7 linked regions of the Canis lupus familiaris genome follow. The protein of the gene in region 4 binds, or shares a complex with, the protein of the main gene of each other region. Links are inferred from orthologs where the notes say so. Each region holds a gene or a part of one and is shown on either strand. Other genes may lie near its edges. The genes, in order: MED20, MED26, MED18, MED24, MED21, CCNC and MED31.

Region 1 (3,500 bases), on a different chromosome or scaffold from region 4:
CTCCTGTAGTATGAATTCGGTAATTACAGTGAGTTTGCACAAGAACAGAATGAATGATAGATCAGCTTTGGGTTGTTTGTTTTTCAGGGTTGAAATGTTTTGCTCTGGGTTTAGCAGGAGGTAAAAGGTACCCATTGGCACAAGTGGTCAGGAGGGATGTGGAGAAAGGTTGGTGCAGAGCCTGTTGAGTTCTGGAAGTAGCAGCAGAGTGGAGGCCTATGTAAAGGTCTCTCTGCCCCATCTCGTTTCCACTGTTAAGCTCTCATTCTTGCCTAGAATATCTTTCCTTTTCTATGTGGCCAAACCCTACCTTCTCTTTGTATCATAGTTCAGGTGCTATTTTCTCCACGAAAGTTTTTCCTATTGACTCTTGCACACTTTGATCCTTTCCTGCTCTGGTCTTTTCTTCCTTCCAAAAAGATTTCTGGTCTATCCCACATAAGCGTTTTGGTCTTACTATCTCCTTAATAGTTTTTTATTGTCTTATTGTCTCTAATGAGAGTGTCAGTTTCCTGAGGTCAGGTACTAAGTCTTCTACTTGCATGCCTCTTAAACCCTAGCACGATGTTTGGGATGATTAAGTACTTAGTAAATACTTTATAGCTAAGTCTTCATGAATACTTGGGATTGTGGTAGTGTATCCATTAATTCTTACAGTGTATAAACAGGGGATCTTGCTTTCTATTTCTCAGTTAACCAAATATATGTAGCTTTCCTTCTTGCAGTAAATCTCTAGTAGTAATCAATGAGAAAACTCATTTCTCAGAGACTGGAAAGATTGGATGGGGCTTGAAATGAGACCTTCTGATTCCAGATCCTGAGTTCTTTCTGTGAAAGTGCTGATTGCTTCCCAAGTCAGCTGATGCCTTATAGCACTCCAGGGGTTCATCATTACCTTCAGGGTAAAGTCCAGACTTCTTGAGGCATGGAAAATAAGTCTTACCATAGCTTCACTCTGGCCTTCCTTTCCAGCCTCAAGCTCAGATACTCCCCTTTGCTGCTTCTGTGGGGCCTCTTCTTTTATATCAGGAAGGAGGCCAAAGGAGAAAGGGAAGGACAGAGAAGAGAGCATTTGCTTCATTTTTGTATACTCAAATGCTTTTAATATTACTTCTTATTTTCCTTATTACATAACATAGGATTATACAGAAGACTATGGGAAGTCTCTGTGGGTGATTGATTGTCATCATTAAGCACCCATCTGTGGAGCCCATCATTCAAGAACTAAACTTACCAGTGCTATGGAAGTTCCCTTATGCTCCTCATATTTCCTGGGGAATGAGCTTTTACCACATACTGCCTTGCCCACTGCTCTTCTTCCTTCCTCTTTGTGGAACAGACTGTTGGTGAGGGGATTACCCTCCATTGCCCTCCAAGATGGCTGAGGTAGTGGCAGATTGCCATCTGGCCCTGTTCCATGCATTTGACTATTCCGAGGCTTGCCAACAAAGATCCTGATGCTGATAGGCTCTCTGTCCCTGTAGGTCAGGCCGGGAAACTGATGTACGTGATGCACAACTCAGAGTACCCTTTGAGCTGCTTCGCCCTTTTTGAGAATGGCCCTTGCCTTATTGCCGACACCAACTTCGATGTGCTCATGGTGAAGCTCAAGGGCTTTTTCCAGAGTGCCAAGGCCAGCAAGATTGAGACCCGGGGTACCCGTTACCAGTACTGTGATTTCCTAGTGAAGGTGGGCACAGTCACCATGGGGCCCAGTGCCCGAGGCATCTCTGTAGAGGTAAGACCTTGGGGGAAAAGGAGCAGTATATGCTGAAGGGCTGCTCAGCAGAGGGATTGGTGGATTTCCACGTCCCTCTGAGTGCAAACCGCTGTTGATGCCTTCCTGATCCTGTCCCCAGAGCATCTGTGCTTCTCTGTCTCTGCATCTTTTATCCTTTCTTTAGTCCTTCGGGCTCTGGCCCAGGGTGAGAGTGGGAAGCTGGGGTTGCAGTGGCAGAAAGCTTAGGAAGGCTGGCTTGCTGGAGGAGGGAAGGGATAGCCAAGGGAGACAGGTTGATTGTGATGTGGAGGAACTGGTCACCTGTCACAAGGACTGGAGCAAACCAGGGGGAGACAGTGTACAGGTAACTTTTGGGTGGTGGGCCCTAAATCATGTAACTACACCCCTCTCCATGGTATACTTTAAGATAGGTCTCAAAGGTTCTGTAGCAGAGATGAGCCTTTCCTTTTGATATGCTGTCAACTTTCTTTCATGGTGGAAAGAAGTTTGTGTGGTGATTCCATCTCTGAGGTATATGTTGGAGACCGCAAAGAGGGAGTGTGGCAGTAGCTGGCTTTGGAACCAGTGAAATTCCTCAGTCTGCTATGTGCCCAGCTCTGTGTGAGGAGAAAAAAAATTAGTAAGCTATAGGGCCTGCTTTTTGAAAATGTGTGATTGAGAAAATGAGTGAATCTGAAACACACCGACTGTTTTTTAAGTTAATTTTTAAGGCATTCCCAGGCACAAATTGCTTTGGGAATTTGGGCCAATGAGAGCACTGCTGACTTTGGGGATTGGGATGCTTTCTGCAGGAGTAGCATGTAAAGAGGGATTTATAATGTAGAGATGTGGGAATAGATGAGGCCCACAAAGCATTCCAGGTGGAGAAAAGGGCCTTAGTAGTGATTACTGCTCTGAAACTCCAGTGACCTCTGGGACCAAAGTTTCCTGACTTCTTTTGGCTTGTGATATACCTTGCATTAGCTGAGTCCCACTGGGAACCCACTGTCTGCTTATCCTTCACATTTCTAGCTTTTTTAGTACAGATACATCCCAGCTCTTTTTTACTTGTTTCTCCTTATGGTTACTAGTTATTTTTCTTGCCATCCCTCCAGTGAAAAACTAGGAAAAAGGAATGAGAAAGTCTAAGGTGTATCTCCTTTGGCCCCTGCCACATGGGTTGGGAAATTACTTCTTAGAGTTAGGTGGGGTCTATCTTGGGGGTAATGTTTGGTCTTAAAGAGACTTAGTGTCTACTTTTCTCTCTGGTCACACACACACACAAACACACATCCTTACTTTTCTCTCATTCTTCATTTTCTCTCTCAGACTTTTTCTAGCTCTCCTTCGATCTTAATGCAGCATAGTAGGGACTATACAGTTCTGAGATCATCAAAAGGGGCCTGTATCAAAAGGGGACTTTTGGTCTTGTGGGTTGGGCTGTAGGTTGATAACTCCTAAGATGAGATGAGAATGCCAGAGATGCCTAAAGGGAATAATGCTGGGTATATGGAATCCCAGGTGTTTGGGTTGAGTATTTCCTGTGGAGCAACACTGTGTTAAAAGGTGTTTGTCTTTGGTTTGGGGCTGGAGAATTTAGGAGCAGGGGGTAAGAGGTATAAGAGAAGCAGAAGACCTTGTCCTTGCCTCACTCACCCTTGTTCTATGTTCTTTTGGCCCTAGGTGGAGTATGGCCCCTGTGTGGTAGCTAGCGACTGCTGGAGCCTACTGCTCGAGTTCTTGCAGAGTTTTTTAGGCAGCCACACGCCAGGAGCCCCAG
Region 2 (3,500 bases), on a different chromosome or scaffold from region 4:
GGAGCCCTCGTGCCGTGAGTTCCGGGGACTGAAAGAGCAGCGAGGCGGCCCCTTGGGATGGGGAGGGCCTGGAGTCTCATCCACCCGGTCCAGCTGCTGCAGCACTGCAGCCTTTGTCTGCAAGCAGGGGCCGGGTGGCTTGCCTAGGCCCGGGGAGCTGGTATGCGGCCGCACGGCATTGACCGGAATCTTGCCGCTGTGCTTGTCGCTCTCGCCGTGCTCCAGGCGGCCGCCCTCAGGGCCCGAGTGCCCACTGCCGTCCAGGGTACCAGGGAAGCCCTCGGGGCTCCCACCGATCCCGTTGGTGGGGAGAGGGGACGAATTGGGTACCAGGGAGTCATGACTGGCTTTGGAGACCTTAGGAGGTGGCCCAGGGTGGCCGAGGTCACGCTGATCTCCGCGGCGCTTGCGGCTGCCCAGCCTGTCCAGCCGCTGCCCAGGCAGCCTCTGGATGTCATTGCGGTTCTTCAGGTCATGGATGCTCTTAGGCGTGCCGGCCGCCCCCGCCTCCGGCCTGCAGTTATGAGCACCCCCGTTGGCAGAGCCGGTGCCTCCCCCCAGCCCTCGCAGCGCCGCCTCATTCTGGTGCACGGGCTCGATGAGCTTCTGCCAGCTCCGCAGCAGCTTTTTGGCCCGCTTGGCGAGCTCCTCGTTCTTGGTTTTCTTGCGGACGTCGTTGATGAGCTTCCCAAGTCGAGTCTCCTACAACCAGAGAGACGATGACATGCTTTTGGGAAAGAAGTCCCCCATGAAAAGGGAGCTGAGCCAGAAACGGTGGGAAGGGCCCCTAGTCTTTGATTAATCCCACTGACCCTTAAACCACAGAGTTCCTGGATACAAAACCCATAAGGATTTGGTGTCCTTTGTGACATCTAACTTCAAGAATCTAGTCCTTAAACTTTAGGGTCTCAGGGCCACAGGAGGCATCTTCAAAAGTACCATCCCGGGATCCCTGGGTGGCTCAGCAGTTTGGCGCCTGCCTTCAGCTCAGGGCATGATCTTGAGTCCCGCATCAGGTTTCCTGCATGGAGCCTGCTTCTTCCTCTGCTTGCCCCTCTCTCTTTCTCTCTCTCTCTCTCTCTCTCTGTGTCTCTCATGAATAAATAAATAAAATCTTAAAAAAAAAAAAAAAAAAAAAAGCACCATCCCACAGGCTTCTGACCTGGAGGCTGTGGACCATCAAAGCCAGTGAAATGACACTATGCCAAGGAAGCTCTTTGGGAGAAATGCTATGGCAAAGGCAACAGCAAACGGAGGGCCTGAGCCAGCATCACTCACTGGAGCTTAACCCCTCAGGCATGCCTCCCAGGCCTGGGACTAAAGCCACCCGATTCCTGCAGTACCTATAGGAAAATGCTGCTTCTGGGCACAGCAAAGGCCAGGAGAGTATGCACCCCCCTCACTCAGCACTACTAAGTCCTCATCTGGCCAGTGAGAGCACAAGGCTCCAAGAAGCCACGAAGGACTTGGGCTGGGGGAGGCCAAGCTCTGCCCACCCAATATTGGGTCCTGGGGACACTCACCTCCAGTGCCTCTTTGGTAATGGGGTATTTCTCCAGGCTGGAGATGACTTCCAGCACCGCCACCATGTTCCGGATCTGCAAAACAAGAGCCGCTTGTCAAACCTCTGCCCTTCTCCCTGTTCTAGCCCATTCTGGCCTCTCTCCCCAAGGGCCAGTGGAGTCAAGCAACACCAGAGTTCTCACCCCATGCAGCCTCCTCCTCCTACCTGCTCCCAGAGCCAACAAGGTACCCAGTGCTCATGAGCCCGTCCATGGACATGCCTGCCTGCCCAAGTGGTTGTCACATGGCTGAAACCCATGACATTCATGAAATAAGATCTGCTCTTGATATGGCAGAGGTGTTCTACTCTACCATCTCATGGGGGCGGGGGGCAGGGTGCTGAAGATTTATCAAATAAAACACCAAGTTTAAAAGAACAATAAAGGCATACTTCCTTTTGTTGTTCTTGCTTTAATACACTTCACAGATTCTGTGTTTTTTACCAAATGAAGGTCTGTAGCAACACTGCATTGAGCAAGTGTTGGTGGCATTTTTCCAACGGCATTTGCTCACTTTGTGTCTCTGTATCACATTTTAGTAATTCTGATCATATTTCAGATTTTTCCATTGTTATATTTGTTACAGTGATCTGTGTGATCAGTGATTCTTGATGTTACTATTGGTGATTGTTTTGGGGTGCCACAAACTGCACCCATACAAGATGGCAAACTTGATTCATACTGTGTGTGTTCTGACTGCTCCGCTGCCCAGCCATTCCTCTGTCTCCTCTCCTTGGGTCTCCCTATTCCCTGAGACACAACAATATTGAAATTAGGCCAACCCATAACCCTACAAAATGGCCTCGAAGTGTTCAAGTGAGGAAGAGTCACACATCTCTCACTTTAAATCAAAAGCTAGAAATGGGGGGCATCTGGGTGGCTCAGTCTGTTAAGCGTCTGCCTTTGGCTCAGGTCATGATACTGGGATTGAGCCCCAAGTCGGGCTCCCTGCTCTGCAGGGAGTCTGCTTCTCCCTCTCCTCCCCACTTGTGCTCTCTCTCGCTACCCGTCTCTCTCAAATAAATAAAACCTTTTAATAATAATTTTAAAAGGCTATAAATGAGTACACTTAGTGAGAGGAAGGCCTGCCCCAAGCCCCAAACCAAGAAAGGCCTCTTGTTCCAAACAGTTAGCCAAGCTGTGAAGGCAAAGAAAGTTCTTGAGGGAAATTAAAATGCTATTCCAGTGAACAAGCAGAAGAAAGCAAAATTGCCTTACTGCTGATGTGGACCAAGTTTGAGTAGTCTGGATATAAGATCAAACAGCATAACATTCCTTTAAGCCAAAGCCTAGTCTAGAACAAGGCTCTACCTCTCTTCAATTCACTGAAAACTGGAAGAGGTGAGGAAGCTGCAGAAGCAAAGTCTGAAGCCAGTGGAGGTTGGTTCGTGAGGTTTAAGGAAAAGCCAACTTCGTAACCTAAAAGTGCAAGGTGAAGCAGAAAGTGCTGATGTAGAAGCCACAGCAAGGTATCCAGAAGAAGAAGCTGAGATAATTGATAAAGGTGGCTACATCCAACAACAGATTTTCAATGTAGACCAAACAGCTTTCTATTGGGAAAAGATGCTGGCCTTTCATAGCTAGAGAGGAGAAGTCAATGTCTGGCTTCAAAGCTTCAAAGGACAAGCTGACTCTTATTGGGGGCTCATGCAGCTGGTGACTAAGTTGAAGCCGATGCTCATTTACCATTTGGAAAATCCTAGGGCCCCATAAGAATTATGCCAAATTGACTGCATGAGCTCTAGAAATGGAACAACAAAGCCTCATGACAGCACATCAATTTGCCACATGGTTTACAGACTATTTTAAGCCTACTCTTGAGACATACCGCGTTTAGGAAAAAAGATTCCTTTCAAAATACTACCGCTTGTTGACAGTGTACATGGTACCCAAGAGCTTTGATGGCGACGAACAATGAGATTAATGTTCTCATGCCTG
Region 3 (2,811 bases), on a different chromosome or scaffold from region 4:
GAAAGTATTCAGGTTTGGCATGCAGATACCAGTGAGAAAATTTTTCTAAGTGTAGGGGCTAAGGGAAGAGGTTCTGAATAGAAATACTTTATCAAATACTTGGCAATTTTAGGAAATAACAGGAAGATCACTGTGGCTGGTGAGAGGATCTAGGGAGATAGTGGAAAGAAATGATGTTGGACTGGTAGCAGGGACCACAATGTATAGGGCCTTGTAGATGATGATAAAGACATTGGGATTTATTCTGAATGACAAGGGAAGGCATTGGAGGATTCTGAGCAGAATATCATTATCTGCTTTATATTCTAAAAAGACCACTTGGCTGTTATGGGGAGAAGGGTAGAAGCAGGCAAGAAATAAAGGAGATTTGGACTAGATGGAAATGAATGAGGGGCTGAGAAGTGGTTGGATTATGCATGTATTTTTAAAATATGGATTGGGTGTAGGATATGGGGGAAAGAAAGGAATCAGGATGATTCTGTGGTTTGGAGCCTGGGGAACTAGAAGCAGAGAGCTTCCATTCACTATGATGGGAAAGACTGCAAGAGGAATAAGATTGTGAAGGAAAAGCCAACAATTGGATACTCAACATATGAAGATGAAGATATCTGTTAGGTATCCACGTGGAGAAACTGAGTAGACAGTTGGCTATATGAGTCTATAGTTCATGAGTTAAACATGGGAGGCCTCAGGGCATAAGTGGCATTTAAAACCATAGCACCAAATTAGGTCACCTTGAGAGGAAGAGATTGTTAAAAAGAGGACCAGGATTGAGTCCTAGGATCCTTTAGTATTTAGGGAAGGTGAGAAAGATCCAGCAAAGTAGACTTAAAAGGAATGGTCAGTGAGTTAGGTAAAGAACTAAGAGTTGTGTCCCAGAGGCCAAGGGAAGAATAGATTCAAGGTGGGTATAATCTAACAACCATGTCAGATGCTGCTAGGAGGATGAATAAGATGAGAACAAAGATCAGTCTATTTTTATGGAGCACTTCATTTTCTTTTACTTAAATATTTTACAAAAAAAGGAAATGTTATAATCTATAGATCGAAAACTTGTGTTGCTAGAAATAAAAGATAATTTTTTAAATAAATGACAAGAGTACTATTATTCTCGTTGTTAAAGCCTCTGAGCCCAGAGCCCACTGGCAATTACCATTTAGGGAAGGCCTAAAGGCTTTCTAGTACCAAATAAGACAATGCAAAAAACTGAAAGGGGATTAAGTTTCTCATAGTGTTATCTAATACCTTGGCAGCATAACCCCTCTGAAATCTCATATATTGGACCTGTGCTCTACAAAACACTGCAATAAACTGTTTCGGTTTTTCATTTAAATTTTTTCAGTCTTTTGCTAATCCCAGTACTCCAAATGAAAGATGGGACTCAACAATGCTCTTTTGTTCTTCAGGAAGTGTTTTAGATCACAGTTTGGAAAGCCTCATCCATCGCCTTCGTGGTTTGTGTGACAACATGGAACCTGAGACTTTCCTTGACCATGAAATGGTGTTCCTCCTTAAGGGCCAGCAGGCTAGTCCATTTGTTCTAAGGGCTCGGCGTTCTATGGATAGGGGCGGGGCACCCTGGCATCTACGCTACCTGGGACAACCGGAAATGGGAGACAAGAACCGCCATGCCCTGGTGCGAAATTGTGTGGACATTGCAACATCTGAGAACCTCACTGACTTCTTGATGGAAATGGGCTTCCGCATGGACCATGAGTTTGTTGCCAAGGGTCACTTGTTCCGTAAGGGTATCATGAAGATTATGGTATACAAGATCTTCCGCATCCTGGTACCAGGAAACACAGACAGCACTGAGGCCTTGTCACTTTCCTATCTTGTGGAACTGAGTGTTGTTGCACCAGCTGGGCAGGACATGGTCTCTGATGACATGAGGAACTTTGCCGAGCAGCTGAAACCTCTGGTTCACCTAGAGAAAATAGACCCCAAAAGGCTCATGTGACTAAGACAGTCTGACCGCCACTGGGGCCTATCCTCACCTGTTATAAAAGAGAAGATGTTACAAATGCCCCATTTCATTACTACCAGCCAGGCATTCTTAGGAGGACAGTAAGAACTTAGTTGGGTCTTTACACTGTTTTCCTCACGTGACAAGTTCACTTTTGTGACAGCCTTTCCAAATTAAAGGCTCAGGATAACATGAGAAGTCTATCTAGTCCCTTTGTATAAAGAGAGGAAACTAGAATAAATTAGCTTTCAGAAAGAAAAATCTTTTAATTGTTTTGCTATTTGTGTGTAAGGTTTATAGAGACTGTGAGCTTGTATTGTGGGGTAATAAAGGCTATGAAGAGAAGCATCTGTGATTCCAATTCTTTATTACCCTGCTAATTCGGGGTGGATTCACTACCAATTGGAACCAAAAAAAATGACAGTTTTTTTTTTTTTTTAAGATTTTATTTATTTATTCATGAGAGACACAGAGGGAGAGGCACCATAGGCAGAGGGAGAAGCATGCTCCATGCAGGGAGCCCGATGTGGGACTCAATCCTGGGACTCCAGATTGCCCTGGGCCAAAGGCAGATGCTCAACCACTGAGCCATCCAGGCATCCCAAAAAATGACAGTTTTTAGTTTGAATCCTGATAAAGGTAATAGTTTTTACCTTTAACCAAAGTAGCACGTTCACTGAAAAACTTTTCTTTATTTATTTTTTAATATTTATTTATTCATGAGAGACACACAGAGAGAGAGGCAGAGACACAGGCAGAGGCAGAGGGAGGACCAGGCTCCATGCAGGGAGCCCAATGCCGGACTCCATTCCAGGTCTCCAGGATCATGCCCTGGGCTGAAGGCA
Region 4 (3,954 bases):
TGTCTCTATGAATAAATAAATCTTTAAAAAAAAAAGTATTGCTAAGATGTTATTTGCCTTTTCTACTCTCATTCTCCCACAACTGTATGTGGAACATCCCAAAGGCTCCATGACATGTGAATCATATAATTAAATGTGTCAACAATTGGAATATCTGTGTAACCCAGTAACAGATATTTTCCACATGACCACTTCGTGATATTATAAAATCATGCATGAGTAAAAGATCTGTTCAAAATGCAAGAGAGAGACCAATGGATTTCAATGTAACAGAGTATAAAAAGTTCATTGAGTGGAGCCTGGCTCCAACTGAGCCAGAGCATGAGACTCTTGATCTCAGAGTAGTGAGTGAGTTCAAGCCCCACATTGGATGAAGAGCTTACTTAAAAAATAATTAACTTATTTTTAAGTTCATTTATGTGGTTTCACATCACCTGTTGAATTTTTGGTGTCAATGAATATCCAGTTATTTGAAAAGCTTAACATTCTCTGCCCTGGGCAGCCCTGGTGGCGCAGCGGTTTAGCACCGCCTGCAGCCGGGGTGTGATCCTGGAGACCTGAAATCGGGTCCCACGTCGGGCTCCCTGCATGGAGCTTGCTTCTCCCTCTGCTTGTGTCTCTGCCTCTCTCTCTCTCTCTGTGTCTCATGAATAAATAAATAAAATCTTAAAAAAAAAAATTCTCTGCCCTTTTCAAACTAAATGTCTGATGTGTAAGGCCAGATTTTCTTCATAAACTTCAACCAAAATAGCCTATTGCAACAATTGAATGCAGAAGCAGATATGAAAATTCAGCTGTCTTCTATTAAACCATTAAAGAGATTTGCAAAAACGTAAAACAATGACACTTTCCTCACTAGCTTTTTTGTTTTGGGAAATATGGTTTCCATTAAAATGTTATTTATATTAATGTGTAATATAACAGGCTTTATTTAACAGACTTTACTTTTTATTACTTTTAAATAAGTTCATAATTATTCTTTAAATTTCTCAGTTTTCATTTCTAAAACGGTAAATATGGATAGACGTAATACATATAAACAAAAGCTTTGTGGGAGTCTCAACAGTTTTTAAGAAAATAAAAGGGTCCTGAGACCAAAACTACTGCTCTACCCATATAAATTTTTTTCGGTTCCTAAACAACATGTGATTTTTGCCTCCCAGCCTCTAAATATGCTTTTCTTTCTGCTTAGTACACTCTCACCAATATGCCTGGCTAACTCCTATTAACAATACGATCTTGGTTTAAACATCACTTTCTCCAGAAAGCCTTTCCTGATTGCCTAGCTGAATTCCATGCCTCTCGCACATACTCCCCTAGTACTGTCTTAACCTTCGTCATAAACCCATCCTGTGGGATCCCTGGGTGGCGCAGCGGTTTGGCGCCTGCCTTTGGCCCAGGGCGCGATCCTGGAGACCCGGGATCGAATCCCACATCAGGCTCCCGGTGCATGGAGCCTGCTTCTCCCTCTGCCTGTGTCTCTGCCTCTCTCTCTCTCTGTGACTATCATAAATAAATAAAAAAAAAAATTTAAAAAATAATAATAATAATAAATAAATAAATAAATAAATAAACCCATCCTGTGACTGCTTATGTCTGTTATTACTCACTAAATTCCTTGTGTGTACTGGGATCAGGTCTTGTTCACAGCTATATCCCCAGGGCCTATACCACTATCTGACACACTTATGAATATTTATTGATAGAATAAATTCATGTAACATTCATCACAACCAATGAAGTATTATTATTTTCACAAGAAAACTGAGGCTCAGAGAAGTGTTGTGTTGAAACAAATCCACCTAGAAAGCGAGAGCTGACGATTGTACTCCAAGTCTTTTACCTTCAAATCCTCACTCTCTGGAATAGGTGGGGCAGTTTACCTGGGAACTAATGGCATACTTCAGGTAGGACAGGATGAGAGGATTGGGGGAAGGTCCAATCATGGCCTGCTCCAGTAGTGCTTCTGCAAGGGGAATAACAAAGCAAGACTGAGTGGTTATAATTTTTATGGGTTTAGCCCTCCCATCCTTCCTTCCTACTCCACTTGAGACCTGCTAGGTTGAGGATGTCCCAGGTGGCTCCTTTGGGAAAGAATTTCTTCATGTTGATTGCCCACTGGTAGTCACTCCATCGCTCTTTCCAGGCTTGCAAAATGGCTTGCTTCAAGTTCACTACCTTCATGATTTCACTCGGAGAAGGGGCCGATGGCAGTCAGCTTTGAGGTGGGAGAAACTGAGCTAAGAGAAGGGGAGAGGAGATTCTGAAGGAAAGAACAGAGAAGGGCCAGGTTGAATGAAACGGATACGGGAAGATTTAAGGGAGGCAGAAGAACTACAAAGAAAAAATGGGGAAGAGGACAAGGAAGAGATTCTGTCAGGTTCCTCCCTCCTGAATCATCCTTCCTTAAACTGGAGCACTAAGAAAAGGGTGTCAAAGGGACTTAATATAAAGAGTAAAGAGGGTGGCAAGGGGTTAAGCCAATACGAATGCCTAATTACGCCCTCAGCTCTGGCTGCGTCCCTCAGCCCCTACCACCCCAAACCCACAGTTTTTCCTCCATTTCCTCCACCTCCCCCAACCTTGAAACTATAATTCCCTATTTCCTTTTCATCCACCACCTCCCCAATTTTAAGCCTACCGTACAAGCTAGTTCTACATCCTAAGTGTCGCCATCTTGGCACTTATCAAAGAGCTTAACTTCTATTGGCTGGGAGTAACAAACATGAGCCAATAAGAATGCGGCAAGAGACAGGTCACTCCACGATGTCTTCTGGGAATTGTAGTTCCTTGGCCTGGGCTAGTGAGAACCCAAGGGACTAAGCTAGTCAGCCTGCATTGTTTCTCTGCTTTGGAAAAGGACAGGCAGGAGCTGAAGCATCACAGAGACTCCGGGAGCGAAGAGGGGGAGAGCTCTCAAAAGACTGCTCGTAAACAGGCGTCGCCCAAAGACGTCACTGTTGACCAGGCATTTAAATGATATTCTGACACTCTTTCGTTATATGCTAGTAGGCACAGTAGGGGTGTGGTTTTTGTTCAGTAATACGTTTTTCTCTTCTCTGGCCTTTTTTTTTTTTAAATCAATCAATTAATTAATTAATTAGTTGGTGCTCCTACACCTCTGCATATACCAGAGTTCTCGTATTCCAAAGGCGACATTGGGGCTTGATCAGTTGCACATACATCACCATTTAACCCCCAGATTTGGCAGTCCTCCCAGAATCTCCTGGCCCCGCATACTGCTTGAATATGGGGAGAACTAAGGAGGAAAATAGGGGTAAGGTTATTAAAATTAAGGAAAGTCTAAGAAACTGTCATAGCCAAGAGAACTTAAGGAGACATAATTTTTTAAAATTTATTTATTCATGAGAGACACACACAGAGAGAGAGAGAGGCAGAGACACAAGCAGAGGGAGAACCAGGCTCCATGCAGGGAGCCCGATGTGGGACCCGATCCCGGGACTCCAGAACCCCGCCCTGGGCCAAAGGCAGACACTAAACTGCTGAGCCACCCAGGGATCCCCAAGGAGACATAATTATTAAATGTAACTTGGTATCCCTCCCAGATGTTGTCCTGGAACAGAAGAAGAACATTAGGTGAAAACTAAGAAATACGAGAAAAGCATAGATATCAGTTAATAATAACATACCAATAGTAGTTCATTCATTGTAAAAAAAATACCATACTAACATAAGAGGCTAAATAAAAGGAGAAATTGGGTATGGGGTAGATGGGGGCTCCCTACTATATCTTTTCCTGTATATCTAAACCCATTTTTATTTTTATTTATTTATTTATTTATTTTTAATTTATTTATGATAGTCACAGAGAGAGAGAGAGAGAGGCAGAGACACAGGCAGAGGGAGAAGCAGGCTCCATGCACCGGGAGCCCGATGTGGGATTCGATCCCTGGTCTCCAGGATTGCGCCCTGGGCCAAAGGCAGGTGCCAAAC
Region 5 (4,065 bases), on a different chromosome or scaffold from region 4:
CCCTAAGTTTCTTAAAAGCAATATGGTTTCAGAAACCTTCCTTGCTCAAACTCCAAATTTATATAATGTCACCTCTGAAGAGGCAGAAGGATATCAACCTATATTGAAATGTCTCATATCTCTACATTTACCATTTCTCCTTTGGCTTGAGGGATATTTGATTTGCAAAAAAGACTGTAGAAATTTGATAAAAATAAAAATAGAAATGTCACAACAGAATTTTAAAGTACATCTGTTTAATAATAATATAACCATTAATGCAATATCTGCCTCAATAATTTCATTCCAATAATAAAAAAATGATATGATGGTTTAAAACTGGTTCAATCGCAATTTTAGAGGCTTATTTATCAAGAGTGAAAATAGAAGACTATTAAAAAATAGCTAAAAAGGTAACATGTGTCATAGTGCTTAATGTTTCTGTAACTGTTGGTAAGGCTTACATCTAAATTTGATGCAGAACTCTTAATGGCACTGAAATAGTTCTTTTCTCACCCACATGGTAGATACCGGTACTATGAGTCTGGAAGAGACTGGCTATGGGTACCACTCCTTGTCTTCAGTTGTGACTGTGCAATATCAGCAAGTGCACTTTGTATCTTTTCCAGAAGCATGTCCCCTCGGTAAACAACATCCTCCAGACATGTAGCAGCTTCGTGGTTTTCTTCTTCCAGCTTATACAAGCTAGCAGCCTTTGTAAGACACAAATTTAAAAATCTTTTGAGAAATGAAAAACTTGGAGATTAGTTAAGAGTTGAGAAGAAAAAAAACTGCAGAAGTATTTATTTTTAAATCTGGATGATTCTGCAACCATTATGATAGATTTTTCAGTGTCAGAAATTCTAAAATCAGGGGACGCCTGGGTGGCTCAGCAGTTGAGCATATGTCTTTGGATCAGGGCGTGATCCTGGAGTCCAGGGATCGAGTCCCACATCGGGCTTCCTACATGGAGCCTGCTTCTCCCTCTGCCTATGTCTCTGCCTCTCTCTCTCTCTGTCTCTCATGAATAAATAAATAAATAAATCTTTAAAAAAAAAAAAAAAGAAAGAAACTCTAAAATCAGGTAACTTTTAAGGAGCTTTCCCTGTATGAATTACTTAAAAGAATGAATTTTCAATTAGAGATCTCTGTCTAGATGTGACACTCTAGATGTGACACTGCTTTTGGACACTACTATTCTACACACCCAGAATGCCACTCTCCTCTCATTCTTTGCTAGGAAAAGAGCCAAACTGAGAAGACTAAGAAGTTTCCTTATAGCTCGAAATTGGACAACCATATATATTCAGCATGATCTTTAATAGACTACAGTAGTTTACAATTAAGAAAACTTCCATTTTAAAACTTAATCTTGGGGTGCCTGGCTGGCTCAGTCAGTGGAGCACGTGACTCTTGATCTCAGGGTTGTGACTTCGGTCCCCATGTTGGATGTAGAGATTACTTAAAAATAAAATCTTTCAAAAATAAATAAATGAAACTTAATCTTAAGGAAACTTTGAATATTGTAACAAAAGGTATTAAATCTTTGGGGCAATGACTGGCTCAGTCAGAGGAGTGTTGTGATTCTTGGATCTTGGGGTCATGAGTTCAAGCCCTCATGGGTTCAGTGTAGAGATAACTTAAAAAAAAAAAATCTCCTGGGCAGCCTGGGTGGATCAGTGGTTTAGTGCCACCTTCAGCCCAGGGCATGACCCTGGAGACTGGGGATCAAGTCCCACGTCGGACTCCCTCCAAGGAGCCTGCTTCTTCTCTGCCTGTGTCTCTGCCTCTCTTTCTCTCAGTGTTACACACTCTCATGAATAAATAAATAAAATCTTAAAAAAAAAAAAAAAAAAAACACCTCCTTTAATCAAAATACTCTACTAGCAAATTTCTCAAAGGAAAAGAGATTTTTACCTGTAAAGCAGCTGTAGATTCTTCACTGGGTAATGAATCTATCAAAACATCAATGTCCTTTGCTGTTCGTGCAATTAGTGCTGCAAAAAGCTGGGCATATTCTAAAGAAAGATATTACTCATTTAGAGTATTAGGAAATGTCAAGTTTTCAGAAGTAGAAATTAAATTTGAACCTAATGAAACCAGAGAAGGTCATAAACTTTTTCTGTACTATGCTTTGAATGATTAAAATGTAATTCTAACACACCAACCCTATCACATGTTTGAGAAGTAGCCTTACTATTAACTCAAATTGGGAACTAAACATAATTATTTCATTTTTTTAGGACAGTATGTCAGTCATTTGAATAAAAGAATATGTAAATGGAATGCCTTCCTTATTAAGGCCCCTCAAGTGAAATTCTGCTAAATTCATGTAAAGTCAGCTGTAAAGGAATAACAATCTGCTTTTTGTCATGAACAGAATTACGAAATGTAGAATATCTAATGAAATCATCTTTTATAACAAAACTTACAGTAATATTCTCAAATCATAAGTAAGCTGTATTTCTCAATAAATTTAATATTAAAAGATTATAAAGATTATAAAGGTCAAATGAAGAGAAGCCAAGAAAATCTATTTACCTTCTGTAGGATTAGCTGGCTGATCTTTGTTAATTGCTGTCTGAATATTACTGAAAGAAGCAGGAGGACCACACTGCTGCAACACTCCAATGGCATTACAAAACTGATCTGCAAGCTTGAAGCCAAAGAAAATGTGTCAGAGTTAGAAAGGACTGATCAGTTTTAAGGATTTTACCAGTAACAGCAACAAAAATAAGTTTCTATAATAACAATATCTAAGCAAGGGAATAAAACAGGAAGAATCTGGGATAAAATTAGCTAGTTATTATTAACAATGATTAAATGTTTAATCACGCAAGGAAACTAGGTTTGGTATCAACATAGTTGAAACAGTTAACAGGAAATACAAGATAATCTTTGTTTTCTTCCCAAGGTAACAGAATGATAAGAGAAATAAATGCCAACACTTGTTACAAGCAGAAGTAGGGATTTTTGGGGGGTAGCGGTGGAAGAAAGCAAATCTACTGGCAAATATGTAAGTATGGCCTTAGGATAAATTTTAAAATATGTAATTTATATACAAAGTATTTGATCCCTTTTTTGAGACTAAAGTAGTTACAACTATAAAAAAATAGTGGGGAAAAGACTCCACCTGAAGAAATTATAAGGCCATGATGCATGAATGAAAAAAGAAACTGTGGTACACACACACAGGCACATCATTCAGCCATTAAAGAAAAACGGGGGAAATCTTGCCATTGCAACAAGAATAGACCTTGCGGGCATTATGCTAAATGAAATAAGTCAGGGAAAGACAAATATTACATGATTTCACTTATATGTGTAATCTAAACAAAAACTGAGCTCACATACAAAGACTCCTGGTTATCAGAGGTGAGGTGGGGCTTATGGTGGGCAAAAAGGGTGAAGGGAGTCAAAAAAGTACAACCTTCCTATCCCCTTAAGTCATGGGGATATAACATACAATATGGTGACTATGGTTAATACTGTTTGTATATTTTAAAATTGCTAAGAGAGTTATCTTAGAAGTTCTCATCAAAAGAAAAAAAATGAACTTTATAACTACAGTACAGTGACATGTTAACTAGATTTATTGTGACTTCACAATATATGCAAATAGTGAACCATTATGTTGTACACCTGAAACTAATGTTCTGTCAATTAAAAAAAAAAAAAAAACCCTCTACCTTAAGTACTTGGAAATGTTTTCCTCTGTGACTCAAGCTGTAAACTCCCAGTGCTCTAACAGTATTCCTTAAACAGTTTTGAAGACAAGAGAATACCAGTTCCTTACAGTTGGCAAAGTTAAAACTCCTATCCTCCCCACTAGCTTCCCTCAATAGTCCTGACCTTTTGAATCTCACTTATTTCCAATCTGTAACTATTTCCACTAAGTTTCTCTGCCATTTTTTAAATGACTGAACTCAAAGTCAACTGTTTCCTTTAATATCTAATCTTATTGAGAATCTCCTAGTTATAAACCAGTCTAACTTCAGACTCTTAATCTCCTTTCATCTTCAAATAGTTCTATTTTCTTTTCATTCTATCATTGGAACAGCAGGAGTTCAATTATCTCACAACAGA
Region 6 (3,500 bases), on a different chromosome or scaffold from region 4:
TTCATGAGAGACACAGAGAGAGAGAGAGAGAGGCAGAGACACAGGCAGAGGGAGAAGCAGGCTCCATGCAAGGAGCCTGACATGGGACTCGATCCTGGGTCTCCAGAATCAGGCCCCTGGCTGAAGGTGGTGCTAAACCGCTGAGCCACCCAGGCTGCCCCAAAGTAAAACTTTTTGAAAATAAAGTATGTAAACTAAATGAAAAAAAATTTAAATCCTTGTGAGGTCTTAGTTTTTATAAAAATGAAAGAAACCACAGAACAGATCCTCTAGAGACTATCTGTAGTCAGTCGCTTGATGAAATGTGGCATCATAGTGATTTGAATACAGTTTTCTCAAGTAGTACTTAAATGTGTATACTTATCATTTTGAGGACATAGAGGATTGATAATCAACAGTTTTTTTCATTTGTACTTAGTGACAAAAAAGAGTAATAATTATATGTTTGTGCGTGGTGTGGAAAAGTGCTGGAGAATTTTGGATGTATGTTTATACTTTTATTAAAATGTATCTTTTGATAAGAAAGTATCTATTATAGAAAGTACAGATTAGTTAAAATCCTTAAATCTCAGATGACCACTATTAACATTCTTTGGTTGTATTATCTTTTCAATTCATATATACGTATGTATGAATACATATATAATTGGTGTTCCTTCCAAGCTAAATTACTGAAAAATAAAACCAATATCATTCTAGAGCTGGAAAGATTTTAGAGATGAAAAAAATCCAAGTGATTTTTTTTTTTTATCCAACCCCTTTATTTTTTAAGCAGCAGAACCCTTTCTTAAGACATGAAGTATATAATTAAAGCTCTCTCTTAATTGTAATATAGTTAGGGCTTCCTGCCACTTAGTTCTTTCTACTTGCCTGAAGACAAAAAACAAAATCTGGGTCCCTAAGCATCTCTAAGAGCTCTTACTAAAAGTGATTTAGCCCTTCCTCTAATATTCTACACGGTGTTAAAGAAATTTTGGTTTAATTTACTTTTTCATTTTCTTAGTTTAAGTCATTTTTTTTGTTTTCTGCAGTAAAAACTAGATTTTCATATGCCTTTCCAAAGGAATTTCCTTATAGGATGAACCATGTAAGTATGTGTTATAAAAAAAAAAACAAACCTGTTTTCAAAGCTGTATAAGCTAGCTCCATTTTATGTTAGAATAAATTGAACAGTTTCCTATAAATGGCAGTTTTAAATACTACAAAAATATAAATTTTAATTCTAAATTAAAGCTAAATTCTAACTTTTTTTAAAAAAAAAAAGTACTTAATAGCAGTGGTTATCAAACCTGGATGCCCATCAAATCACTTTGGGAACTTTTTAATAATGTTAATACCAGAGGCTCTCCAGACCAACTAAAACAGAATTTTTAGGCTTGAGGCCTGGGGACTGGTATTTTCTAAAAGCTCCCAATACTAGTGTGCAGCTAGGACTGAGAACTACTATAATGGAACAATATGAAAACCATATTTGAAACTTTACATTAATTTAGAAGGTGAGTTTCTATTAACATTTTTAATAGACATCTCCTTTTTCTAACTTGTAAGAGATTTCTTCATCTCTGTAAATTGTATATTTTTGTTTTGTATTCAGTATTCTTTCCTTTTATTGATTTGTAATATAAGAGTAACACATAAATAGAGATAATTGCATTTTTTGCATTTGTTGAGTGGAAGGTGTATTGGAAAATCTGAAGTTTACACAGAATATTTTAAATTAAAGTAGTAATGCTTACATGAGGCTGACTTTTCTATAAGGATTAAAATCCTTTATAATAATAATTTCATGCATTGTATGGTAGTAAAAAAGTAATTTTTATTGGGCATGTTCATTCTGATATAAACTACTGTGTATATTTTCTTGATTTAAAAATTTTTGGTAAAAATCTATGTTACATTAATGTATGAATTGTTATGTTAGACTAAGTAGACTCATCTAATTTGTTTCATGTTGACATTTGTAATCTTTTTTTTAAAACAGATATTAGAATGTGAATTCTATCTTTTAGAACTAATGGTAAGTATATTACTTCCTTATGATTAATAGAGTAAAACTTTCAACTACAGTGAAGTCAGAAATATTTAAAGAAATGATTTGTAGGGAGGTGCATTTTAAAACCATCCAAGTTATACATGATGGTGAAATCACAGTATCTAGTAGTATCATCACCTATATCCTCTCACAAGCCTGTAAAATAATTATATATCCCACTTAGGATGGGAAAATTTTTCTGTTCTATAGTAACTATGGTAAAAGGATTACAAGCAAACCAGTCAGGACATTAAGCCACTGTAAATTATTTGCACAATTTGTGTATGTGTGTGGTGTTATTTAAAGATAGATTATGTCTTTGGCAGAATTCTGCTCCTCCAGTTGGGAATTATGGATTTATAGGCTAATAAGAGGTTTCAGTGTGTTGCAGATGTGACACTTTGAGTCTCTAAGGGAATGGATGCTGACTGACTGCCAACCGATTTACCAAGGTATATTCCAGAGAGAGCACTGCCTTCACTATTATAGTAGAGTTTAGGGCTGCCATACTGCTTGCTTAAGAGAATAAGAGGGAAGCAAGCATGACTTAGAGAAATACATTTTGAAATACACAATTATAAATCAGTTGGGTAATGATAAGTTTTTGTGTTGTAATAAATCTGTTTTTATACAATACACATTTTTTAAACTGTTTCTAGGATTGTTGCTTGATAGTGTATCATCCTTATAGACCTTTGCTCCAGTATGTGCAGGACATGGGCCAAGAAGACATGTTGCTTCCCCTTGCATGGTAATTAGAACAGAAGTTATTCATAGTGTAACATATTATTAGCTAGGAAGGTTGACAACTGAATATCAAGTTTAGTATTTTTAAAGTAATTAAACTAGTGCCCCAAGATATTGTATGTTGAGCGAAATATCTGCTCGTTGAATTTTAATTAACTATATTTATAAATGCTAAATTGGTAAGGATTCTTATTTAGTATTTCCATTAAAATTTGATTCTTATAAAAAACATTGTTTACATAAAAATTAAGACAGGTTTTCAAATAGAATGCTTTGTATTGGTATTTAATATACATATTGTATAATTTCTGGTTTCCTCTGATTTTCTAATTTTTGAAAAATTGGAAAAATCATTATATTGTAATTTACTGTAAGGTTTTAAGTTTTAAAATCTATTTAGCAAAAAAATAAAAAATTAAATTAAAATCTATTTAGCTGTAATTTTATCCATTAAAAAATGCTTATTCATTGTCATTTTCATGTATCCATCTTTTTTTCTTGATGTTTTCACCTTTATATCTATGCTTCAATAATATTAAAAGAAATAAATATGTACAAAGATGGGAACTCTGGCCCTCTCTGGAGGGAGATGTACAATCATATAAGGTGGTTCTGATTTCAGTAATAATATGATTTACATTTCTATAGGAGGATAGTGAATGATACCTACAGAACGGATCTTTGCCTACTGTATCCTCCTTTCATGATAGCTTTAGGTAGG
Region 7 (3,988 bases), on a different chromosome or scaffold from region 4:
AATAAAACCCAAGCCCCTTTCTATGGCTTCCAAGACCCTTTGTGAACTTGCTGCTGCTTCTTTCGCTAACGTCCTCTCTCCTGTACCACGCTTGTCCCTCGCATAGCTCCAACAACGCTGGTCTTCTTTCTGTTCCAGAACATTCCAAGATTGCTCCCGTCCAGCCCTTGCGTTGCTGTCCCAGACCCCTGCACGGCTCACTGTCCACCCACACAAGCCTCAGATCCAAGTCCCCTAACCAAGGCCTTCCCTGACACTTCTGAGTGAGGAACCCCTCCCATTACCTGTTTCCTTCAGTTACTCATTGCGATAGAAAATGGTCTTTTCATCATTTGCCGTGTGCCCCTTCACCAGTGTGAGCTCCTGAGAGCCTGGGTCCTGCCTACCTTGTCCAAGTGCCCACAGAGGAGAGGCTCCATAAATAGTACTGCCCTCCCCGCCCTCTGCGAGACCCGGGCCGGGTTCCCTTCCGAGATCACGCCTCATGGTAGATGTTGACTTTTATCTAGTCTGACCTGTATGGAAATGTGTGTGACTGGGGGTGCCCGTACAGGGCACAGGGCTTAGCATAAACAAAATACCTGCTTGGTTTGAAACACAAAGGCCAACTGGTTAATTAATGGAGGTCTGTTTCTTGCCCCTCGGTTTCCGGCCGCGGTGTGATCCTCCCAGTGGTCACGGTTTGGGTTTGCTCCCTGTCCCCGAAGTCTGGATCGTGAGGGTGGTTGGAACAACAGCCTCCCTATCCATCAGCCCATCAGGCTGGCGGAGCGTCGCGGGCCTGCGGACCTCCAGTGCTGGCTTGCTGCAAGGGGGCTCCCGGGGTCAACGGTGCGGCCACCCGGCCGACGCGCGGCGGAGGGGGCTGGCCCAGTGCCGACCCCGCACCTGCCGCACCTGCCGCACCTGCCGCACCTGCCGCACCTGCCGCACCTGCCGCACCTGCCGCACCTGCGCTCGGGTCAAGGGGGGGGTCCCTGTGGGTTGGAACGGCCGCTGGGCGTTCTCCCGGCTGAGGACTGCCCCCGCGGGAGACCCCACCGAGGGGATGTAGGCGCTCCCGGAGGCGCTCGGGACCCCCGCGGCTACGTCACTGGGCGAGCAGAGAGGCGGGGACAGGACCCCTCCCGCGCTCGGAGCGCCCCAGCTCCGCCCCTCGCCCCTTGCGAGTCTGCGCGAGGCCGGTGGGCGGGGCCCGAGAGGACCGCCCCGCCCCGCATCCCACACTGCCCCGCGACAGGAAGTGGGGCCGCAGCTTCCGGGACCTCCGGGAAGCTGCTCGTCGTGCTGGTGACGTCTCGGCGCTTTTGCTGGCGATGGCCGCGGCCGTCGCTATGGAGACAGGTAGGTAGCGGCCGGAGCCCTGGCAAACACAGCTACAGCCGGCTGGCCTCCTCCTCCAGCTTCCCCCGGGACTCCTGTGTGGCGTGACTTCGGCGGGGCTCCTGTCCGCGGCTACCTCCTCCTCGCTTGCCGCGCAGACGCCGACCACCCCTCAGCCTCAACCCCTCCCGGGCCCCGACCCCGCGGCCTCCCGACCCATCCCAGGTCCTGGCCCTCCCAGCCTCCGGGCTCTGACACCCCCCTCCCCCGGGCCTCCCAAATCCTGCCGCCCCGAACCAGTCCCCCCTCCCCGCCAGGCCCTAGCGGGAGCACACTCGCCCCCTCCTCTTGCTTAGCTTGCAGCCCTCCGCCACTGGTCACCCTGGAGGTCCTGGGGAGTGGCTGCCAGAGGGTGAACATCCTGCCCAGGGGGCGCCCGCTTCCTCGGACTTCTCCTTAAGGAGTTACTGGTCTCATTAATCAGGGCCCTGCTCTCTAGACTTGGGAGGAAACGGCCCTCTCTTCCCACATCCAGCTTAGGACAGTCATCCCTGCCTTATGCCTTCAGAGATACTCTCAGCAATACTCAGAACACTCCACTGCTGTTTTCTTTCTACAAACCAGCACTTTAGATAGTCACCTTTATTTTGTTTTTTATTTATTTTATTTATTTTTTAGTCACCTTTACTTTGGATGATTTTTGCTCACTTCCCTCCTAGATGATGCCGGGAATCGACTTCGGTTTCAGTTGGAGCTGGAATTTGTGCAGTGCCTAGCCAACCCCAATTATCTTAACTGTAAGTCCTTGAGCTCTTACTGACTTGAGTAGCTGTTAGTGATCTCTGGCAGAAGAACTGCAGTTCCTAATGATACCTATTTTTATATGTTCTCAATCCAGTGGAATTAACTGCTACGCTTATACTGGTGTGTGTGAGAACAAATTGGGACTTATGTTCAGCATTTAGTGTGTGTTGGTGGTGGGGAAGTTATATAAGTAGATGCTTTATGTGAGGGGTCACAAATCAGTAGTCCGAGGATTGGTTTGCTCTACAGATTTTTTTGTTTGTTTGTTTATGCCTTTCAGTTCTTGCCCAAAGAGGTTACTTCAAAGACAAAGCTTTTGTTAATTATCTTAAGTACTTGCTTTACTGGAAAGAACCAGAATATGCCAAGTATCTAAAGTAAGTTTAATTTTTATAGTCCTAAATATGTGTATAGTTATTACATTAAAAATACTGATATTTGACAGATTTTCTCATTTCCCATTGGAAAAAAGTATATTTTGAATCTCTCCACTTCTTTCAGTTGCCTCCACCTTAATACAGAGCCACCCCCTCTCCAGCTTGGATTATTGCGGTGTCCACCCCCCTGCTTCTCCCTGCTTGTGCTCTTACCTTCCTTCTGTGTCCTCCCTCCCGCAAGCCAAACCAAGCAAAACAGTTTTCCACAGGGAAGCCAACTTGATCTTTCAAAAATGTAAATTATGACGTGGTATTTTCTTGCTTAAAACCTCCCAGTGGTTTCCCATTGCATGTGAAACAAAATCCTCTCTCTTTTCTCAGGTCTCTCTTTATCTATCTACCACTCACCCCATCTCACTGAATTTCTGACCCTAATGAACCCACAGTCTGTAGATGCAGTGGTATTACCTGAGGCTGAAGATTAAAGAACATCAGGTACTTGGAAGGTTTTCTGGAGGAGGTGACCTTACCTGACTCTTAATATAGGCATTCCTTGGATACTGTTGATGTGGTTCCAGGCCACTGCAATGTGGTGAATATTGCAATAAAGTGACCCAAGTTTTTGGGTTCTCTAGTGCGTATAAGGGTTGTTAACACTATAGCATTAAGTCAAGAAAGAGGTACATACCTTAATTTAAAAATATTGTTAAAAAACACTGTCATCTGAGGTTTTATGGAGTCTGATCACAGATCACCCTAACAAATACAATGATAAAGAAAAGTTTGAAATGTGAGAATTATCAAATAATGACAGACATAAAGTGAGCAAATGTAGTTGGAAAAATGGTACCCATAGACTTGCTTGCTGATGGGTTGCCACACGCCTTTAATTTTTAAACAAAAAGTCCAAAAAACAAACCCAAACCAGTGTGTCTATAGCTGCTGTGCCTCCTCTGTGCCAAGCATCACACTTGTTTCAACCTTGAACCCATCCCTCTTCTTTGTCTTCACTAGGTAGTCAGAAAGCAATAGTTGAACTTCTTGTCTTTCTTTTTTTTTTTTTTTTTTTTTTTCTTGTCTTTCTTTTAAACAAACACGTTTGATAGGAAAATGATTCAGACTTGTACTTTATCCAAGTCACTTTTTATTTTTTGTATTTTTATTTTTTTTCCAAGTCACTTTTTTGATTTGTGTCAACTGATTCACAAAACCCACATCCTTCTCCCTGCAGGACCCTGTACACCCTGACTGCTCCTTTATGAACAGCCACTTATTCATTGAATAATCCGGAGAAAAGCTTTTTCATTAGCTGTTGTGTGCATGTGTAGACTTGGAGACTCCATTTGGACCTGGAGACACAGGCAAGGTCTAGTTCAGGGCTGGCCGTCTACACTCTGCATGGGTCCAGTGAGCACCTGTTCTCCATTTAGGGACAGTTGCACCATTAGCTGGGTGCTGGAAAGTTTTTCCTTATTTTGGGATAT

The links.
Region 1: MED24 (region 4) and MED20 share a complex: the UniProt entries of both Homo sapiens proteins name them as parts of the mediator complex. The link is inferred for Canis lupus familiaris from reciprocal best matches to the Homo sapiens genes MED24 and MED20.
Region 2: MED24 (region 4) and MED26 share a complex: the UniProt entries of both Homo sapiens proteins name them as parts of the mediator complex. The link is inferred for Canis lupus familiaris from reciprocal best matches to the Homo sapiens genes MED24 and MED26.
Region 3: MED24 (region 4) and MED18 share a complex: the UniProt entries of both Homo sapiens proteins name them as parts of the mediator complex. The link is inferred for Canis lupus familiaris from reciprocal best matches to the Homo sapiens genes MED24 and MED18.
Region 5: MED24 (region 4) and MED21 share a complex: the UniProt entries of both Homo sapiens proteins name them as parts of the mediator complex. The link is inferred for Canis lupus familiaris from reciprocal best matches to the Homo sapiens genes MED24 and MED21.
Region 6: MED24 (region 4) and CCNC share a complex: the UniProt entries of both Homo sapiens proteins name them as parts of the mediator complex. The link is inferred for Canis lupus familiaris from reciprocal best matches to the Homo sapiens genes MED24 and CCNC.
Region 7: MED24 (region 4) and MED31 share a complex: the UniProt entries of both Homo sapiens proteins name them as parts of the mediator complex. The link is inferred for Canis lupus familiaris from reciprocal best matches to the Homo sapiens genes MED24 and MED31.

The regions. Positions count from the first base shown.
Region 1 is NC_049233.1:10,759,470-10,762,969, reverse strand, and holds part of MED20 (mediator of RNA polymerase II transcription subunit 20), read left to right. Parts: intron 1-943; exon of another isoform or gene 944-1,017; intron 1,018-1,234; exon of another isoform or gene 1,235-1,484; coding exon 1,485-1,738; exon of another isoform or gene 1,739-2,337; intron 2,338-3,403; coding exon 3,404-3,500. UniProt on the Homo sapiens protein: Component of the Mediator complex, a coactivator involved in the regulated transcription of nearly all RNA polymerase II-dependent genes.
Region 2 is NC_049241.1:46,379,603-46,383,102, reverse strand, and holds part of MED26 (mediator of RNA polymerase II transcription subunit 26), read right to left. Parts: intron 1,599-3,500; coding exon 1,524-1,598; intron 703-1,523; coding exon 1-702. UniProt on the Homo sapiens protein: Component of the Mediator complex, a coactivator involved in the regulated transcription of nearly all RNA polymerase II-dependent genes.
Region 3 is NC_049223.1:71,505,649-71,508,459, reverse strand, and holds the end of MED18 (mediator of RNA polymerase II transcription subunit 18), read left to right. Parts: intron 1-1,406; coding exon 1,407-1,960; 3' UTR 1,961-2,311; downstream 2,312-2,811. UniProt on the Homo sapiens protein: Component of the Mediator complex, a coactivator involved in the regulated transcription of nearly all RNA polymerase II-dependent genes.
Region 4 is NC_049230.1:22,449,540-22,453,493, reverse strand, and holds the start of MED24 (mediator of RNA polymerase II transcription subunit 24), read right to left. Parts: upstream 2,801-3,954; 5' UTR 2,642-2,800; intron 2,264-2,641; 5' UTR 2,185-2,263; coding exon 2,055-2,184; intron 1,967-2,054; coding exon 1,884-1,966; intron 1-1,883. UniProt on the Homo sapiens protein: Component of the Mediator complex, a coactivator involved in the regulated transcription of nearly all RNA polymerase II-dependent genes.
Region 5 is NC_049248.1:25,934,982-25,939,046, reverse strand, and holds the end of MED21 (mediator of RNA polymerase II transcription subunit 21), read right to left. Parts: intron 2,636-4,065; coding exon 2,521-2,635; intron 1,998-2,520; coding exon 1,897-1,997; intron 693-1,896; coding exon 516-692; 3' UTR 501-515; downstream 1-500. UniProt on the Homo sapiens protein: Component of the Mediator complex, a coactivator involved in the regulated transcription of nearly all RNA polymerase II-dependent genes.
Region 6 is NC_049233.1:58,015,467-58,018,966, reverse strand, and holds part of CCNC (cyclin-C), read left to right. Parts: intron 1-1,031; coding exon 1,032-1,087; intron 1,088-1,981; coding exon 1,982-2,017; intron 2,018-2,691; coding exon 2,692-2,783; intron 2,784-3,427; coding exon 3,428-3,495; intron 3,496-3,500. UniProt on the Homo sapiens protein: Component of the Mediator complex, a coactivator involved in regulated gene transcription of nearly all RNA polymerase II-dependent genes.
Region 7 is NC_049226.1:30,892,170-30,896,157, forward strand, and holds the start of MED31 (mediator of RNA polymerase II transcription subunit 31), read left to right. Parts: upstream 1-1,188; 5' UTR 1,189-1,316; coding exon 1,317-1,344; intron 1,345-2,042; coding exon 2,043-2,120; intron 2,121-2,407; coding exon 2,408-2,504; intron 2,505-3,988. UniProt on the Homo sapiens protein: Component of the Mediator complex, a coactivator involved in the regulated transcription of nearly all RNA polymerase II-dependent genes.